2 linked regions of the Zea mays genome follow. The protein of the gene in region 2 binds, or shares a complex with, the protein of the main gene of each other region. Links are inferred from orthologs where the notes say so. Each region holds a gene or a part of one and is shown on either strand. Other genes may lie near its edges.

Region 1 (3,600 bases), on a different chromosome or scaffold from region 2:
CTTGCTTCGAGCGAAATTCCGTAGATTTCAAGGTTCCTAGGGGCGGATAGGTGGAACACCGAAGGGAAGCCAGCTATCAATTACATGCCTATTTGACAACGAGGTCGTGATACATAGACCACACTCTCAGTGTCACACATAGGGGCTACCAACCATAGCTGCATGGATAGGATGATACATTATGACAGTGTTCAAGTGGAGCTTAAACATTGAAACTCCTCCTGGATCAGAGGGTCAGAGGTAACTAGCATAGTAACCATGACTAGGTGTGGCTTATAACATCAACAAGCCAGATAAGACTTGATAATCAACAATCTAACACAATGCTAAGCCTTAGTTAAAGTGCTCCTATACTACCTCAACAATAACCAAGAAATAAAGGTAAAATAAAGTAATATTTGAATGTAATACTTAAAGTAAAACAAAGGTAGTGCTCACACTAGAACACAAGATAACTAGATTTCATTTAATAGTCATTGGTAAAAAAAAAAGATATATCTAAAGACCCCAAGAGAAATTTAGAACTTCCGAGACAAAGCTCGGACTCAACTCTAACTTCTAAGAACTATCTACACTACCTGGAAAGTAGGAATTGAAAAACATAGGAATAGAAAAAAATGTAGGAACAATATAGGAATGCATGTGTAAAACAGAGGAATGAAAAAATAATTTTGAGTGGAAGGTTGTTTAGTTGGGGCAAAGGATTGGAAAAAAAAGATATGACTGGATGCTTGTTTTCATGCATTTTGCATACGAAACAATGACAAATGATTCTTTCCTCTAAATTTCCTAAGGCTCAACCCTACAAACCAAAGGATGCTACAATAGTAATTTCTATGAAAATCAGAATCCTATTTTTCCTATAAAATTATTTTGATCCAAAGGAGCCTTGAAATAAAGAGAGGAAGTTTTCTAGAATCTATCTACTTTCAACTTTCTTATCCACAACTGAACACCCTCTCAGGATGAAAAAAAATTATGGGCATGTTTGGTTTCCTGCCTAACTTGCCATAATTTGCCTAACTTTTTCTGCCTAAGGTTAGTTCTTCAATTCGGACGACTAAACTTAGGTAAAGTGTGGCACAGTTAGCCACGAACCAAACAGGCCCATATATATATATCTCCTCATCTCATAGCATGGCTTGTTTGGTTTGAAGCCGGCCAAAGTTGCCTGGCCTGGCACAGATCTCAGGCGTTGGACTTTGAGTGCTTGGGCTAGGATTCCTTGCCAAACAGACCTGAGTGCATGACAGCGACAGCCTTCTGGGCTCACTCGCACGGTCGCACCCGAAACGCCGCAAATCCGGGCCCGCAGCCCGACCCAACTCAACTCAGGCAGACACTCGCCGCCGCCACGACGTCACTAGTAGAGCCGTAGAGGGCAAGAGGCGACGGAATGACGGAGCGGCAGGTGGCGGAGCTGGGTCCCGGGACGGCGTGCTGCGGCTGGAACCACTGTGGCCGCCGCCTCGCCGCTGGCGCCGTCGATGGCTCCGTCTCCGTCTATGACTCCCAGCCGCCACCCTCGTTCAAGTGGCAGGTCAGTTCCGCGTCGCTCCTCCGTGTCTCTCCCCTACCCCCTCCCCCCCGGCTGAAGACGACTTGCCCCGTTCTCAGTAGCTTTCGCTCGAGTTCATCTGCCCCCAGCGCATGCACAGTGCCTTCTGTTGCCCCGTGTGTGTTTAGAGCTTGTTGCTGCCTAGTATTACATTCTAGTACTTGCGTACGATGATGGGCAGGACTGTCATGGGCACATTGCGTGGGGGCGAATTACCAAATTCACTCTCTAGATTTCACAAATATTGTTCTTTCAGCAAAGCGTTTTCTGAGTGCGGAGGGAATCTGTCCATTGAGAGAATTTGAGTATCGTGAAGATTATATGCGGAGAAAGATAAATAAGTTCATAGGGTTTAGCATGTAGAAAGTGATGGATTCCTACTATCACAACGAATCAGCCGATTCTGTATTCACGTTGATTTTAGACGATTTTGACTGAAGTGATTTTCATATAAACGGGCTAAAAAACTAGGTGTTTGGCAGTCTACAGCAGCTTCTCGTGGCCAGAAGCTAAAAAAAGATGAAACAAACAGGGCCATAGACTAGTAAGTGTCCTTAAGTAGCAGTGCCGTGGGATGGTAATAATTCTCTCATGGCAATAATTCGAGTTCCTGACATTGAATTTGTGCTTGCTCTGAAAATTATGATGGATATGCAGCCTTGTGGGCATTGCACACAAGACTACTTGAAAACTGTTATCCAAAATCGGTTCCTTCTATGTTTACTGTGTTAATCTCAGTTGTTCTTTTGATTGTACAAACTGGTGTATTCTGGTGTATAACCTGGTTGGTGTTGGATCAGGCCCATGAGCAAGCCATTGTGAATGTCGTCTGGCTTCCTCCAGAGTATGGGGATGCTATAGCTTGTGTTTGTGCTGATGGGACACTGTCTTTGTGGGAGGAGGTTGCTGCTGGTCAGTTATTTCTATGCCTTTTAGGTTTGGTTTATGATGTTCTGTATCTGCAATTATCTTGTACTTTCATTTCACATGCTTTTGCTAGTTTTTATGTATTGGAATACTAAACAGTACCTTATGTTCATGTCAGAGAGCTTTGCGTTTTTTTGGTGGTGTGTATTAATATATTCAACAGTACCTTGTGTGCATTGACTCAGAAAAAATGTGAATCACTTAGCAATCTTTTAAATTTCTCTTTTTTCTTGCTGGTCTGGTGGTTACCTGGAGAACTCATTTTGACCACGAAAGCACCTTTTACCATGGAATATTTGGATATATAGACTAATTAACAACCTCTCTTGTAGAATGAATAACAAGAGTACAAGACTATTTTACTAGGATAGGATTGGACGATATACTGAACCTGACCTTTACTTCAAGTCCTGTCTGTATCTTGTGTTTCTCTAAATTGTACTACCTCTGTTCTCGAATATTTGTCGTCCGCTAGTTTATGTTGAACTAAACCGCGACAAATAAAAAAGAACGGAGGGAGTAATTTAGTTCTGCGATATTTGAACAAACCACCAACAGATATTTCTGTCCTTGTCTTTTAGTCACTCACTTTCAAGTTTTTTCTAAAGCTAAAAAATATGAGGCTTTATCATCCTTTGCTTGCACAAGTGCCTTTATGAGAAGTCAGTGTCACAGTCCTTCCCGGGAAGGCTGTCTAGGAGGCTGCTTTTGCTCCTGCCAGTGACGGCTAGGGCAGGGGGGAAGCGGTGCTGCTGCTTTGGAGACGCAGGGGCTAGGGTTTGAGCGGCAGCGTGGGCAGGACGACAGCACGTGCCTACGTGCGGTGTGGGAGGTGGCAGTGGCTAGAGAGGAGACCAAGGTTGAGAAGAGAGAGAGAGAGAGGTAGGGGAGAGTTGATGCTCTGTCTCTGCTTAAGATTGAAAGGTTACATCGCTCCTATATTTAGTCCCTAGAGGACTCGTACTCAAAGCAAATTAGAGGAGTCTTTATAGATTTGGATTTCTCCTTTCCTAGCAAACCAATCCTATTTCCTACACAAAACACAATCTTATTTCCTACACAAAACTCTATTCTATATACCTACTTTTATCCAAACTTCAAATATATTCCAGATT
Region 2 (5,252 bases):
AAATAGAAATTCAATATTGCAACTAAGTGAAAAAAAACCAAACCTTTAAGTTTAAATTAATCTTCTTATGCTTGTCAATCTCAGATTTAAGGGACGCCTACAATAGGACAAAAAAATATAAGTACTACAGCGAATTAGTTAATATATTAGTCATGAAAGTTGGAACTATTATCACCTCTACATCATTCAGCTTCTTTTCCTTGGAATCCAATTCAGATTGACATAATGAAAGCTTATCCTCCAAAATTTTTATGGCAACTTCTTTCTCAGAAAGCAGTATCTTTGCACTTTCAAGCTCCATAGAATTCTCTCTCAAGGTTGACTGTTGAAAACGATAATTATGTTAATGTATGTGATAGTAAGACGATTAAACTATGACCCAAAAAAGTCAAGCAAATCCAATATCATACAACTAATGAAATTAGACACTTAATGACTCATGTACAGTTAGAGACTTGCGCCATCACTTTCACCCAAAGCAAGCATCCATCCAAAAGATAACAATAATCGTAATACAGAGTACAGTGCAGAAGCTCATACAGTTTATGTCACAAACTCACAGCAAAGAAAATAAAGTGGTACAAAAATATTTGGTACAAAATAGGGAAACAAGACACTATAGTGATTCATCAAATGTTTAGTCAAACTAGACAAAAATGACAGTCATCAAACTCTTTTGTGCAGAAAAAGAAATCCAATCATGTATACATCATTGACCAAGAAACATTCAAAATGGCATCATCACAAAGAAAAACGAAGAGGAAAACAGAAGACTAACTTTGATATTTTGAAGTTCATTCTTCATGGCTTCATAAGTGTTCAAATCAATGCCTTTGCTATTTTCAATCAGCTGCCAAGAAAACATTAATACACAACTGCAGAACTCAACATATGAAGAATAGAATGAATTAATATATAGATTTTTATGCACATATTGTTTTCTCACAATGTTTACAATTTTTTTATGGCAATAACCTGCATATTACAAACCAACAGACTAAAACTTGCTTGGGACAAAAACCACAGCTGCTGTTCTTAATGAAGCCAAAGGAATTTCATGGCATTTTATCATTACTGTTAGAAAGTGGACTAAAACTTACCTCAGAAATACTTTGGTTGAGATTAGCTATTTCTGCCTTCTGCATTTCCAGTTCTCTTTTGCACATTTCAGCGTCTACCTCCTTCTCCAGTAGAAGGTTCTGCAACCTCTCAGATTCCATTTTAGCCTTTTGAGCTTCTTCACGGAATTTCTGAACGCACAAAATTAAAATAAAAAATTATGCACATCCAGATATGAACCAGCAATTAAACATTACCAATTTAATATATTACCTGGCATTCTTCAAAATTGTGCCTGTTCTCCTCCCTAAGTTGTATGTTGCTTTCACGAAGCAAGTTAATTTCTCTGACCTGAGGTCGGTCATTTCAAATAAAAAACAATAAATAAGGTAATAAGGCTAAAATACACTCAATAACCAGGTCAAAGCAACATAGCAATGCGACATAGCTATGTGATCAACTAATCCCAACAATTGAATTGCACCTGAATCTGCAGTGACTTGAACTCTTCATCCTTGAACATCAATGCCCTGGCACTATCAGCTTGACTTCGCAACAAGTCCTGTGCCTCCTTGGCAGACTTTAAAGAACTTTCCAGCTGTATTACCATTATAAAGAAACATATGAAATTAGAGACATCAATACATTCAACCAAAAAAGTTTGTAAAGTAAACTACAATGGAGGTTCACATGCTCCATCAAATACTACTTCTAACACAAAAGTCCCAACCAAACATTCCGAATTTAGTCTATAAAAAACCCCCTTTCCTTGAAGACAGATGAATTAAAAAGGGTCATCAATTTCAGAGCATGTACGCATATAGCAGATAACACCGTTTCCAGAGCAAATTGGCTATTATTAGGGAGGCGTCAATTTAAACAAACAATTGCCAGTAGAGCTGGTGTTTTGACACCAACTAGAAGGCAACATGACGCACAGCAAAAAAAAATCATAGATCCTACGACACTGAACCAATGCACAGTTTATCAAACAGAAATCGAACAACTTTTTAATTATATGGTCAACATGGCATATTGCATCTGGCAGAATGTGCTGCAGTTTTTTAACCAGCAATAGATGGTCCTCATGGAATCTTATATTTTTAAATTCAAAAGCATTTTGAATAAGGACAAATGCAGGGCAGGTTGCCAGGTGCTAGCATAACATACTTCTATCTGAAGCCGAGACTTCTCCTGTTTAAGCAATGATATCTCTGTTTCGGCCTGAAATAGTCAATAGGCTGAATAAGAACCACATCTAGTGCAAACTGAATACTAGACAAAGCCTCCAAATCCAATGCTTACTATTTCTTTCGATCTGCGCAGATAACTGATGACACTTTGTAGATCATCTTCTGCATGTGAATTATCAGTACGATGTGATGAAAGCCCAGCAATATTCCGTTCTTTCTCGGCTAACCGAATGTGTAAAGCTTCTAACTGATTGTGTAGAATTCTATTCTGCACTCATAACAAAATAGAAATCATGAAAAAATGCATGCTAGTCAAACTCAGAATCATTAATTGTGAAAAGAATAGCATTAAGAAGCAGTGAAAGCACAGACTCCCAATATATGCCTAGTTGAAGTAGACCATAAAAATACATACGTCCACAACCGTCACTAACCAATTTCATCTTCAAATTATTTACTACTACAAATGAGACATTTATCTAGCTGGAGAGTTCAAGCCTTTTTGCATGATACTCCCTACATTCCAAATTATAAAACATTTTGGCTTTTCTAGATACATGCTTTTACTATGTATCTAGACAAGTAGACATAGTGTATATCTAAGTGCATATATAGCAAACACTATGAATACAGAAAAGCCAAAATGTATGTAATTTTAAATGGAGGGAGCTGTGTTTTCATTATCATCCGACTAATCGCGATTAGTCGGGCTGGTAGGTTTTGGGTGGTCAATCAGGGCAGGCGACCCGATTAGGACACTGGACACCTGATCGCCTTGGCCATCCGACTAGTTGCCGACTAGCTACGATTAGTCGCTCGTTCATCAGGAGATAATGTCCAACCAAGGTTCGACGCGCCTCAAATTTTTATGGGCTTTTTTCTGGCAAGCAGCCGGCTACAGAGAGGTGAAACGTCCGCCGGCAGCCTCAATAAAACCTTCCAAAATTCTAGATCTCTGAAATTCTCAATCGCTGTTCATTACTTGTTCTTCTAAATGTCCAAAATTCTAGAGTGGTAGTAAGTGTTTCTTTGCTGTTTTGAACACCAGCATTACTTTAGGGTCACTGGGGAGAAACTATTTTTAGATGGATGAACAAATATCTTCTCTTAAGTCAGTATTGCAAAATTCATGTCATGTTTAATCTTTACTTTATATATACCATATATACGATTAGTCACCTGGTCGGAACCCTAGGTCAACCAGCTGGTCGCTCGACCAGAAAACATAGGGAGTACCATACTGTGCTACGCTCATAATAGGGATGAAAACAGATGAAAGCGGGATCAAAAAAAGCCGGGAGCGGGAGCGGCAGGACCCAAAAAGCCGGGACCAAGATAGACGGCAATACGGAACGGGTAAATACGAGTGGGGATTCAGCAGAAACAGACATAAACCAGAATATTAAAACCAAACAGAGTACACAATAACACACTTGAAGTTACAGCTATTGAGTTATATTATTTTTTATATCTAAGATGTACTGTAATTTCCCGGTTATATGAAAATGGTTGGGACAAAAAAGGTAGAGGGTACAGGATTTATCCTGTCCAGTTTCATCCCTAACTGACAACAATTACTTGTTCCAAATATATGTCTACACCCCAGCAGTAACAATATGTCCACTACAAATTAACACTTGAAGTAGGCATGTGCTATGAAAAGAAAACAAAAGGTGAATGTCCAGCATGCAGTTACAACAGGCAGAAAATTACTTAAACAAGAATAACAAACATCAAATGTAATAAAAAAACTTTTTGTGGTAGTGTATTAGATATTCAACACAAAAATTGCTAAATAACCTGATCATTAAGCTCATTATACTTCTGCAGGGCATCGTCCTTCTCTTTCAATAAGCCTATCTTTTCTTGTTCAGCAGAAGATCTTAGACATTCCTGAAATGATTGCAGTATGAATTAGTTACGTAAGAAACAGAACAATGGAAACTACAAAATTCAATGCAACATTGATAATGTACACCGGTAGGCGGTAGCACATCAAGAAATCGATACATTTTTTCTCAAAAAAAATGCACGAAGAGGCCAAATTTGATTTTATTTCTGATTGCTTTGCTCACTTCTCGCAAAATAAGGAACCATATATAATCAAAATTTAACAAAAATAACACATGTGCTAACGATATACCCAGCATTAAAAGTATATTATAGCATTAGAAAACCACAGAATATAGATAAACTCAAAGTCCACCAAAGAAAACAGAGGTGGCATTCTGGGAACCCAAGCCAGGCATACAACAACACAAGCGAAATCTTTTCGTCCCAAGCAAGTTAGGTTAGGCTAGAGCTGAGACCCAACACAAGCCACAAATCAAGTTCAGGCACATGGATAGTTGTTTTCCATTCGCTCCAATTCAAGGCTAAATCTTTGGGTATATTCCATTCGATCAAACGGCATTGGACAAGTTTTTCTTCAATTGGTGTTACCCCTAGCCTACCACGTATATATCTAATCATACATGGGTTACCGATATCCGTGCGGGGGGCTTACTGTCCAAGTTCTGGTCGAATATCTGAGAATTTTGGAGTTGGTTGATGCTGTTATTCTGCAACCAGGAGTTCTTGATCAATTCGTTTGGTCGAATATCTGAGAATATCTGAGTACTCTTATCAATCTGAATCTGCTTATCGGGTTTTCTTCTTAGGGACAATTAAATTTGGGCCTTGGAAAAGGATCTGGAAAAGCTGGCCACCCCTCCGGTGCAAATTCTTCATCTGGCTGCTGTTAAAGAATAAATGTTGGACGGCGGATCGCTTGGCTAGACGTGGGCTCCCGCATTCTATTATCAGTCCTCTTTGCGACCAGGAGCAGGAGACCATGCAGCATCTTCTTATCTCCTGTGTTTTCCCACGTGAAGTTTGGGCCATGGTATTCACTTGCTTGGGGCTGCCTACACATATCCCGCAGCCCAGTGGAAGGAGTTTTTCAGGCTGGTGGTTTGGGGTAATCAATCAAGTTCCTAAGGAGGTCAAGGGCATGAATTC

The links.
Region 1: Nuclear-pore anchor (region 2) and IDP351 share a complex: the UniProt entries of both Arabidopsis thaliana proteins name them as parts of the nuclear pore complex. The link is inferred for Zea mays from reciprocal best matches to the Arabidopsis thaliana genes NUA and SEH1H.

The regions. Positions count from the first base shown.
Region 1 is NC_050098.1:223,531,507-223,535,106, forward strand, and holds the start of IDP351 (Protein SEH1), read left to right. Parts: upstream 1-1,142; 5' UTR 1,143-1,396; coding exon 1,397-1,540; intron 1,541-2,358; coding exon 2,359-2,470; intron 2,471-3,600. UniProt on the Arabidopsis thaliana protein: Required for proper export of mRNAs from the nucleus to the cytoplasm.
Region 2 is NC_050099.1:187,927,633-187,932,884, reverse strand, and holds part of Nuclear-pore anchor, read right to left. Parts: intron 4,146-5,252; coding exon 4,053-4,145; intron 2,521-4,052; coding exon 2,365-2,520; intron 2,284-2,364; coding exon 2,230-2,283; intron 1,658-2,229; coding exon 1,544-1,657; intron 1,411-1,543; coding exon 1,333-1,410; intron 1,251-1,332; coding exon 1,101-1,250; intron 851-1,100; coding exon 779-850; intron 323-778; coding exon 176-322; intron 98-175; coding exon 44-97; intron 1-43. UniProt on the Arabidopsis thaliana protein: Component of the nuclear pore complex. Acts as a docking site for activities required for desumoylation and mRNA export. Required for the proper expression or localization of a subset of miRNAs.